Arabidopsis thaliana: one gene and its partner. The protein of the gene in region 1 interacts with the protein of each later gene in a pairwise test. Each region holds a gene or a part of one and is shown in the gene's direction. Other genes may lie near its edges. The genes, in order: UBA2A and AT5G52547.

Evidence for each region.
Region 2: the proteins of UBA2A (region 1) and AT5G52547 interact in a two-hybrid assay, tested with the Arabidopsis thaliana proteins (one large-scale study listed by BioGRID).

The regions. Positions count from the first base shown.
Region 1 is NC_003074.8:21,048,023-21,054,152, reverse strand, and holds UBA2A (UBP1-associated protein 2A), read left to right. Parts: upstream 1-1,832; 5' UTR 1,833-2,008; coding exon 2,009-3,445; 3' UTR 3,446-3,470; exon of another isoform or gene 3,471-4,398; 3' UTR 4,399-5,426; downstream 5,427-6,130. Other genes in the region: AT3G56870 (uncharacterized protein), read right to left, coding at 1-1,076. UniProt on the Arabidopsis thaliana protein: Heterogeneous nuclear ribonucleoprotein (hnRNP)-like protein that acts as a component of a complex regulating the turnover of mRNAs in the nucleus. Binds with high affinity to RNA molecules that contain U-rich sequences in 3'-UTRs.
Region 2 is NC_003076.8:21,325,323-21,329,677, reverse strand, and holds AT5G52547 (uncharacterized protein), read left to right. Parts: upstream 1-2,179; 5' UTR 2,180-2,230; intron 2,231-2,240; exon of another isoform or gene 2,241-2,371; intron 2,372-2,627; exon of another isoform or gene 2,628-2,746; 5' UTR 2,747-2,835; coding exon 2,836-2,838; intron 2,839-3,037; coding exon 3,038-3,355; 3' UTR 3,356-3,815; downstream 3,816-4,355. Other genes in the region: AT5G52550 (stress response NST1-like protein), read left to right, coding at 682-1,764.

The DNA.
Region 1 (6,130 bases):
ATGTCTTCAGTTTCCCACACAATCTCGGAATCTTCTGCACAAAAATTGATGATGGACAAACAACCGGGGTAATCAATAGCAAGTATTTCTGGAGCTTCTATCTTCACAATCTCCAAACCAGTTACACTCATATCTAAGTTAGCCTTTATATCATTGCTTTCCTCATCCTCTTTATCTTCTTCTTCGCACCCAGAGCTTGTGTAAGCAGAAATGAAGTTCTTTACACAACCAATGTTCTCATATTCTGAATGTTGTGGATTAACATCCAATTCCATCTCCTCTCTAGACACACTAGAGTACAAAACAATTTGCTTATTCTGAAAATCAGCATCGCTAAACTCTTCTGATGCATCTTCAAAAGCTTCCTCAATGGCTACCACTCCGGGAAAATTTGGCTCTGCACTGCAGTATGGAACCAGCCTCATGTCACTGGACGAATCAAGCATTATTTCTTCCACCAACACTGTATTTATAGGAGATTCTGACTTTTCACTACAATCCATGGCTTCAGAAACTGAATAGCTATCATCCCAAACTTCAGGCTTGACATGAAAGAGCACCAACGGCAAATCAACCTTTTCCACAGATGGAGGAGAGGAAGTAGAAGTACCACACTTTGCTTTTTTACGCTCCTGCTTCTTCTTCCTTCTCTTGGAGAATTTCGTATCCCAACTGCTAAGAGGCTCCTCAATATCACATCCTTCATCTTGGGTCACATACTCTTTTTTAACTTCAACGTTCGAGAATGTCTCAGTAGTAGTATCTCTGCAGTTTCTAAGTTTCCTTTTCCTTTCTTTGCATTGTTTCTGAATCATCTCCAATGTTGTCATGCTAAAATCTTCAGACTCAGAACCTTGTGTAAAATCAGAACCATTGTCCAAATCCCTGACTACTCTTGGAATTGACTCAACACCTTGACTGTCTTCAAGATTGTATATATCCACCAACTGTCTAAATTTGAGCTTTGGTTTTCTTCTGCCATCCATATTCATCACTATTTTGATAGATCCGTCTTTAATGGTTCGGATATAATGTACATGAGAGTTCAAGTGTGTGCTACTTCTTAACTCCACCATTGTAACTATCAGATAATTACTTGCTAACAACTGATTAAGCTCGTATAATCCCCGCGCTCCTGGATTGAAACAAACAAAGGAATTACCGGTAAGGATACTGCTAAGTGCTAACAACAATAAACCAGAATCCTAAATTTCATTAAGCCAATCAGAGAAACGAACATCAATTAGCTACTAAACACAATTTGAAACCAAAACTCTTTTCTTAGAAAATCAATTGCACAAATCTGACCACGAAAAAGGACATGCAAATTAAAAAATGAAATTCACAATGGGCGGCGAAAACCCTAATTTCGCTACATCAATTTTTTTTGTAGCTGTATCGATTCGAGAATGGTAAAGAGCAGATCTGGGTAAAGTAGATGAATGAATCAAAGAGAAATTGAATCTAGGACATTGAATTTACCTTAAGTCTTAATCAACGCTTAATTGGATAGAGAAGGGAAATGAATGCCGAATCCTGGGCTCCAAACTCTAATTTCTGGATCTAGGGTTCACTAAAGAGACAGAGAGACATTAATTTGAAAACAAGACGAAGAAGAAGACCAAGAGACTGAAAATTGCAGCTCTTTGTAAGAAGGGAGGCGAAACCTTTTCTTTGGTTGTCTTGTCTTCTGAGTTCTGACTAATCTTATGAGCCGTCAAGTCTCGCGGGAAACACATGGCGGGAACTTTGACGTTATTCTTTTTTTCTTACTTAAGCATCTTTTCGTAAATGGGTCTTTAAACTTAAAGCCCAATAATCATTAATGGGCTTATATATATAAAATGGTTAGGGGTAAATGTGTAAAAATCCACTTAGCAAAGACTTGAGGTTGATGATATACCACCCACATAGCGGCGCATTATAGATAAGGAGGGGAAAATCAGCTTTTTGGAGAAGAAACCAAAGAAAACATTCGAAACCCTAAAATCTCCATTAGAATTCGAAAATGACAAAGAAGAGAAAGCTCGAAGGAGAAGAATCTAACGAAGCTGAAGAACCGTCGCAGAAGCTGAAGCAGACGCCGGAGGAGGAGCAGCAGCTTGTAATTAAAAATCAGGATAATCAAGGAGACGTTGAAGAAGTTGAATACGAGGAAGTAGAGGAAGAGCAAGAAGAAGAAGTAGAAGATGATGACGATGAAGATGATGGTGATGAGAATGAGGATCAGACGGATGGGAATCGTATAGAGGCGGCGGCGACGTCTGGATCTGGCAATCAAGAAGATGATGACGATGAACCAATTCAGGATCTGTTGGAACCATTTTCAAAGGAGCAAGTTTTGAGTCTTCTTAAGGAAGCAGCGGAGAAGCATGTTGATGTAGCCAATCGAATTAGGGAAGTAGCTGATGAGGACCCTGTTCATCGGAAGATCTTTGTGCACGGTCTTGGTTGGGATACGAAAACAGAGACGCTTATTGAAGCTTTTAAGCAGTACGGAGAGATCGAAGATTGCAAGGCTGTGTTTGATAAGATCTCAGGGAAATCTAAAGGTTATGGCTTTATTCTGTACAAGTCTCGTTCAGGTGCTCGCAACGCACTCAAGCAGCCTCAGAAGAAGATTGGTAGTCGTATGACGGCATGCCAATTGGCTTCTAAAGGACCTGTCTTTGGTGGAGCTCCTATCGCTGCTGCAGCTGTTTCAGCGCCTGCTCAGCATTCGAACTCGGAGCATACTCAGAAAAAGATTTATGTTAGTAATGTCGGAGCAGAGCTTGATCCACAGAAGTTGCTGATGTTTTTCTCAAAGTTTGGAGAAATTGAAGAAGGTCCTTTGGGTCTTGATAAGTATACTGGGAGACCTAAAGGTTTCTGTCTCTTTGTTTATAAGTCGTCTGAAAGCGCCAAGAGGGCTTTGGAGGAGCCACACAAGACTTTTGAAGGCCATATCTTGCATTGCCAGAAAGCTATCGATGGTCCCAAACCGGGCAAGCAGCAGCAGCATCACCATAACCCACACGCCTATAACAATCCTCGTTACCAAAGGAATGATAACAATGGTTATGGTCCGCCTGGAGGTCATGGACATCTCATGGCTGGTAACCCAGCTGGGATGGGTGGTCCAACGGCACAGGTGATAAACCCGGCCATTGGACAGGCCTTGACAGCTTTATTGGCATCTCAGGGAGCTGGTTTGGCTTTTAATCCGGCAATTGGACAGGCTTTGTTGGGTTCCTTGGGGACAGCTGCTGGTGTAAACCCAGGGAATGGAGTTGGAATGCCAACTGGTTACGGTACTCAAGCTATGGCACCGGGGACAATGCCTGGGTACGGTACACAACCTGGGTTGCAAGGCGGTTATCAGACTCCGCAACCTGGTCAAGGCGGTACAAGTAGAGGGCAACATGGTGTCGGGCCATACGGTACTCCTTACATGGGTCACTAAATGTATCATGTATCCATCCACTCAGGTAGAGCAATGAATTTCCCTTGTTTAATTGTTGAAATGTCTTTCCTCAGTATATATTAACTTACTGATGTCTGAAGACAAGAAGTTTCTGTGTATATCCACATGGTTTTTGTTTGCATTGGAGTTTTGGGGGATTTTGCAACGGTTGTTAAAGCATGTTACTTCTCTTATTTTCTTAAATTCATTGTGCAGATATCAGAAATCAGTGTTTTAATATTGGCCTGGTGATTCTTCTCAAGTTTATAAGGAGCTGATGCTAAATGAAGTCTTTATGAAATGTTACTCTTTGGTCACTCCTAAGGCCAAACTCATAAAAAACCTTTTAAGGAGTTTTAGTTTTCATCTACTTGTTTTTCCCAAACTCTCTTTATGAAATTCCTAAAAAAAACTTTGTACTACTATTTTCAGTGTTTATGTCTCTATTTTTTCAGTTTTCTGAATATCCCCCTTAGACTTTCATTTGTAAAACTAAAAAAGCGCAACTACGCTCCATGTGGGTCTTTGCTTATCGAACTCTAGTTTTTCCTAAATAGTTTTTATTGACTTCTCTGTTTTACGATTTCATGTGTTTTTCTGCCTGCAGTGTATTTTGTACCAAGTTATCTTGATTAACCTGGCTTTATGTACTATCCTGATTTTATGTTTGTTCAATTATTCCTCTTGCAGGTAATTGACTGCGGTTGAACAGCCAGATTATGTACCCCTAACTGTCAATGAAATTTCTTTAGCACACATATACTAATCTGAATGCAATTGGTTCTGAAATGATCAAAACTTGGAATTTTAAAATGCAGCAGAGCTCTCTCACTTGTGTTTTTGGATTTTCTATGACAAGTTTCAAAAGTTTTTACAATGACTATTTCAAATTAGAACTTTGTTTCCAAACTTATTTGTCATAAAATTACTAAGTTGCAGCCAACTTGGAACAGTCAAACTTGGTGGGAAGTGGTGCAAGCTTCTCAACGACACAGCTGAAGAATGATCTTTCTGAGGCAATTTCTCAATATTTGAAAAGTGGAAGCTATCGAATAGAGTTTCTCGACAACAGGCAGTTAAGTCTTTGGATCTCCACAACATGCTTGCAACTAAAAGGTAAGTTCAAAGTGTTGAGTATCTTCTTTGGCTATATACAACGTGCTTCCAATTGAAGGGTAAGTAATCAAAAGTGTTAAAAGTATATCTCTCAGTGCGAATCTCTTGCCTATATATGTTCTTGTTTATTGGTCCTAGTCCCTCTTTGAAGTGATAAAAGTTGGTTTTGGTCTAGAGAGCATGTACCTTCAGGTCCTTGTGCACAAGGTTCAGGGATTATTAGAAAAGTCACAAGAGTACGAGGTGATATATTATTTCCCTTAATGTTTCAGAGGAGTTTATAAAGGCGTGAATGCATAAAGTTTTTTTGGTGATGATTGCTTTGATGGTGAAATCTCTTTTTGGAAAAGTGCAGCTTTGAATATTATTTATGATGATGATACATAGTAGAAGGGTTCATTGATGATGAAGAAGAGAAGCAGAATATGAAGCTGAAGTGGAATTGGGGGAAGTAAGTAGTAGAGTTTTGTGTATTTGATCTCAAGTCAACAATCTCTCAATTGTTATGTCAAGTTTCGAAAAGGGAAAAAGGTCCTTCATTGATGAAGAGAATCCAAGATGCAATATTCTTCAAAGCCACATTCAATGTTCATAAAACCCAATCTGAGATTGGATAATAGAAAGTATAATTAAAGGTTTGAGATTTCAATATTGCAAAAAAATACATGTAAATTATTGCCTAAAAATGGTTTAACATGATTGCAGATTAATTTATAGTAATCACTTACCATTTAAAGAGAAACTCATAGGCATGAGGATTAGTGTTGAGAGCCAAAGAACATAAACATGTATATGTATAACCTTTTCTGATTAAAGTTTGATAATCAATCTACCTAAATTCCCATTGAAGCTAAATGAATGAAGGGTCTCCGAGCACATGTAGTGTTTATTGATTCCACCTTCATTTAAGTTAATCACTAATCATTAAGTGTTTAAACAAACCTCTGTTTCTTATTTTGATCGAAAGTTTGAGAAACCATTTTTGGGCAACTAAAAAAAGAAGAAACGCATTGAAAATTCCACAGGAGGCTTGAGAGGGGGGCATTGCCACAGTATCGAGTGTCACTTTCTCAATCAAAAGGTTTTCTCTCTCTTCTCTTTTTTCCTCTCCTGCGCGAAAACAAAACGAAGAGAGAGAGAGAGACTCAGACACACACAGACACAGAGTTTAGGTTTGCTTTGTAAATCTGTCTCTGCACTTATCATAGTTTCGTTTCTCTTTTGAGAAAGAAAAACCCAAACTTGCCATGTTTTAGATCTGGTCCTTTTTAAGCTCCAAAAGATTGTTGCTTTTTCTCTTGCTTAAGTTTTTGATTTATTCTTCTTCTTCGAAAAGTCTGTACCTCGCAAGAGTTTGATTGTCCTTGTGTTGCGATTTCCATGTTTAGTATCTGCATTTGATAGCCTTCGATGCTGCATGCAATTCCCAAGACTCTTTCTGATTGCTACAACGCCGTGATTTCTCTCTGCCATTTCCTTCGATTTGATTTCTGGGTTCTCTTCTTCTCGTCTCTCTTCTGCATGTTTCGCCACTCTACCTTAGAAAAAAGGTTACTTTCGCCTCCGATT
Region 2 (4,355 bases), on another chromosome or scaffold:
TCCATGTTTCGTGGATTACTTTGTGTAGTTTGTGGCTAGCTTTCCGAATTTGGGTTTCAATGTTGATCGAGAGTATGTACATTCAACTTTGGTTGATTTATCTTGGTTTGTTGACCAGTGTTAGTTCTTTTGAATCACTGTATCTTCTAGGTCCCTTGTGCAATTGTGTTTATAGGTTGGTAACCTGAGTGAGTAATTAAGTAATCAGCTGGGTAACATCTGGTTGTGAAAAAGCTTTCTTGTTTAATGTTTTTGCATATAGCCATATAGAAAATAGAACTGTGTGGTCGTGCAGCTTTCATTAGGTTAAGAAAGCAGATGGGTTGGTTTGGTTTGGTATATTATTTTTGAGATCCCTGTTAACGCAAGTCTAATCTAGTATTGTTTTCTTTTGTAGAAAATGGGAGAAGTTAAGGGATGTTGGAAATTAGGACGAATGCTTTCAAAGGATAACTCTGCAAACTCCTACAACGTCTCCCTTCTCTTATCTCCTGTTGTTTCTGTTTGGGATTGTATTGTCCGTAAAATGAGGTATACCTACATACCTGAGTGGGTGTAGTAGTCATTGAGATCATCGCGCCTTGGTGTAGTGAGTTTGGTAGAATCAAAGTAAAAGGAAACAACCAACTAAAAGAAGAAGCCAGTTAACAAAAGCAAGGCAAACAAAGACTTGTAGCAATCATGGATAGCAGTAGCTCGATGTGCAAACAAGCTCAGCCAATTGTTAGAAAAGCCAGGAAGAAAAAAGTAAAAGGTGTAGTGGACCCAATTAAACAAGCTGAGAAGAAAAATAGACGTCTTGAGAAAGCTATTGCTACTTCTGCAGCAATTCGGGCTGAGCTAGAGAAGAAGAAGCAAATGAAGAAGGAAGGACAGCTAGAGGCAGCAGATGAAGAAGATTCAGCAGATGCTGCAAAGAAGAAGCAGGAGAGAGACGAACTGGAGCGTATCAAACAAGCAGAGAATAAAAAGAATCGGCTGGAGAAATCCATCGCTACTTCTGCAGCCATCATGGCTGAGCTAGAGAAGAAGAAGCTTAGAAAACTTGAGGAACAAAAGAGATTGGCTGAGGAAGGTGCTGCCATTGCTGAGAAGAAAAAGAGACGTCTTGAGAAAGCTATTGCTACTACTGCAGCGATCCGCGCTGAGCTAGAGAAGAAGAAGCAAATGAAGAAGGAAGGACAGCTAGACGCAGCAGTTGAAGAAGATTCAGCATATGCTGCAAAGAAGAAGCAGGAGAGAGAGGAACTGGAGCGTATCAAACAAGCAGAGAGGAAAAAGAGACGTATTGAGAAATCCATCGCTACTTCTGCAGCCATCAGGGCTGAGCTAGAGAAGAAGAAGCTTAGAAAACTTGAGGAACAAAGGCGATTGGATGAGGAAGGTGCCGCCATAGCAGAGGCTGTTGCTCTGCACGTCTTACTTGGCGAAGATTGTGATGACTCATACCGAAACACGCTAAACCAAGAAACAGGTTTCAAGCCATGGGACTATACTACCAAAATCAATCTTTTTAGTGGTGGAATAAACAGATTCTTTCCTCACCAACGGTGCTCAAGCTACGCGGTTCATGATAACAACAGAACAAGAGACAGTAACTGGTCGTCAGTCTCATATGAGCCTTTCGCAAGGGGATGGGATAACAACAACAACAACATGGGAATATCAGCTGATTTGTTTGATACTCAAGCTGTGTCGTCACTACAGATCTCTGAGAATACTGACGTTGACGCAATTGTCTTCAATGGGATGTTCAGAAGATGACGACTGTATCATAATTCCCAAGCATTTGTAACTTATTAAAAGTTTGTGTGCTGTTTTTTATTTTACACAACCAAAACAACTTTTTCGTCTCTTACACTGTGCAAATCCTTCATCTCTCTTTAGCTTTTTAGTGAAGTGAGACTCATACGATCTGTGTTTTTGTTTCCTTTGTGGTTGTACTTAATTTAATCCTTCTCAATTCACTGGCATTTTCAATACTACTAGGCTACTAGCAATAGCTTCAAACTTCAAAGTAAAAATTCGGACGTTGCGAGAATCATTTAACTAAAATGAAACGACGTGGTCTCTGACTTGGTGAGTGACTAATTTTTGACGTTCCAATCACCGGTTCGGTTTTATGTTAAACCGGATAGACATTTACTAGTTACTAGTTAGTAGTTACAGCCATAAATTCTGATTCTGGTGCTCCTGCTTTTTTTTATTGAAGTCTGCGTGCTTTAGCTTTGTAAGTTGCTTTCCATTGATACTCTCTAAATCTTTACAACATTCTTCATCTGTTATTAGTTCCTAAGTATATGAACTCTCTGCTTCTTCTCTCCAGCGTTGTTCAGTTGTGTGTCGAGATGTGCTCGAAGTAGGTGACTAGGTTGACTAACTAGTGATTAGGGTTTTCTGTTCAATTTTGGCTTGTTTCTGGTGTTTTTCTTAATTGAGCTGTTTTGAACTATTGATTATTGTGAGTTCATCACACTTGGAACAGACAATAAATTTGACTACAGATCCTGTTCAATAGAGAGAGCTAACTGCAATTCTCGTGGAGAAGCCTCTGTTTTTTTAATAGTGATTAGGAAATATTGAGTTACTGTAGTATTGTTAGATTGGTTTATGCATTTCTTTTGTAGCTTTTGATGAACAATTGGTCATATGCCATTATTTTCGGTTTTATGGTCCTTATGTGATACATTACTATTAAGTGTTTATTTTGTACTCTTACTGAAATCTTGAGAGCTGTTATTTTCAGGTGGATGCAGAATTGCAGACTATACATTCTTTTTTAAGTTCTTGAGCTTGGAACAATACTTTTCTCACTCTAGTTGTTTCTGCAATCAAATGGTAACACCAATCTCTAATGCAATTTTTGTTCATGTCAGTTCAAACTCTTTCAAGTTGATTTTTGTCTAGCTTTTTCTATTGAGGATCAAACTTGTAAACACGCGATTGAAACCAACTGTAGAATGACAGATCTTGTTTGTTATTCTGTCTTTATGTTACTTTGTGTCATCTTCTAAATACTTTTACATATACCTTGCAGGATACTGGTGGGTTTGTAGATGAAGAAAGCGATGGATCTCAAGCTTCTGCACAGTCATCAAGCTCCCAGGCAGTTAGCCATTCAGATGAAGCAATGTCTCGTCCATCAGGTGTTAAGGCGGCAAAGGCCGCGAAAGCTAAAAGGACTCTGTCAGTGATTAAGAGCATGTGGGAGATTAAGCAGAAGGAATTTGAATTGAACGAGAAGCTTAGCAAGAAGACGTTGTTGGAGACTCTACTTCGAAAAACAGCGCCGCTTAGTGATCTTGAAATGGCTTTAAAGAACAAACTTATCACTGACATATTGTCAAATGCTTGAATGGTGTCTTTTATGTCTTGAAAGTTAGTCTTTTTTGTTTCGGTTAACGCTTCTTCACTTGTTTTTGTTCAGTTAGGTTATGAATCTTAAGTTGTTTGTGTTCTGTTCTAAATTGGTTTGGTTGTGCTCTGTTCTAATTGGTTTGTGTTAGTGTTCAAATGGATTGGTTTGTGTTCTGTTCTAAATGAATTTAAATTCGATTTCAGAGTTTAAAAGGATGAAGTCCATGTCGAGATGCAAGAGTTCAAGGAAGCATAAATAGCAAGTACATGCAAGTGTTGTTCTGTTTTGTGTAGAAGTATATAGGCTATGGTCGTGTGAAGATTCACTTGAGTTTGTGTGTCAAATTTTGTGAGTGTATCAAGTTTTGAGAGTGTAGAGTCTGTGTCAAGTTTTGAGAGTCAAATGTATCCCAAACACTTTCACATTTTTTTCAAATGTTTATATTTTCATAGAGGTTGTTAAAATTTAAAAGGTAAAAACCCTTCAGATGTATCCCAAACTTTTGATTTTGTATTATTTCAATTGGTAAATATGGAGATGCTTTTATTTGGTTAAAATGAAGCGACGTCGTTTAATAAAGTCAGCTGGCTTTATAACTTGATGAATGACAATTGACTAATTTTGTCCGAATCACCGGTTCGGTTTTCTCGTTTAACCGGATAGTCCTTTACTGGTTACAGCCATAAATTCCGATTCTGCTGCTCCTGCTTTTTTTTTTTTATTGAAGTCTGCGTCTGTGAGATCACGCTTTAGCTTTGTAAGTTGCTTTCCATGGATACTCTCTAAATCTTTACAACATTTTTCATCTGTTATTAGTTCCCAAGTTGCATATGAACTCTCTGCTTCTTCTCTCCATCGTTGTTCAGTTGTAATCGAAGTAGGTGCCTAGGTTGACTAGCTAGTAATTACCACCACTCAACGAAATCCATGAGGTTTTGGCGATGAATTTAGGGATTTCTGTCCAATTTTGAATTGTTTCTGGTGTTTCTCTTAATTG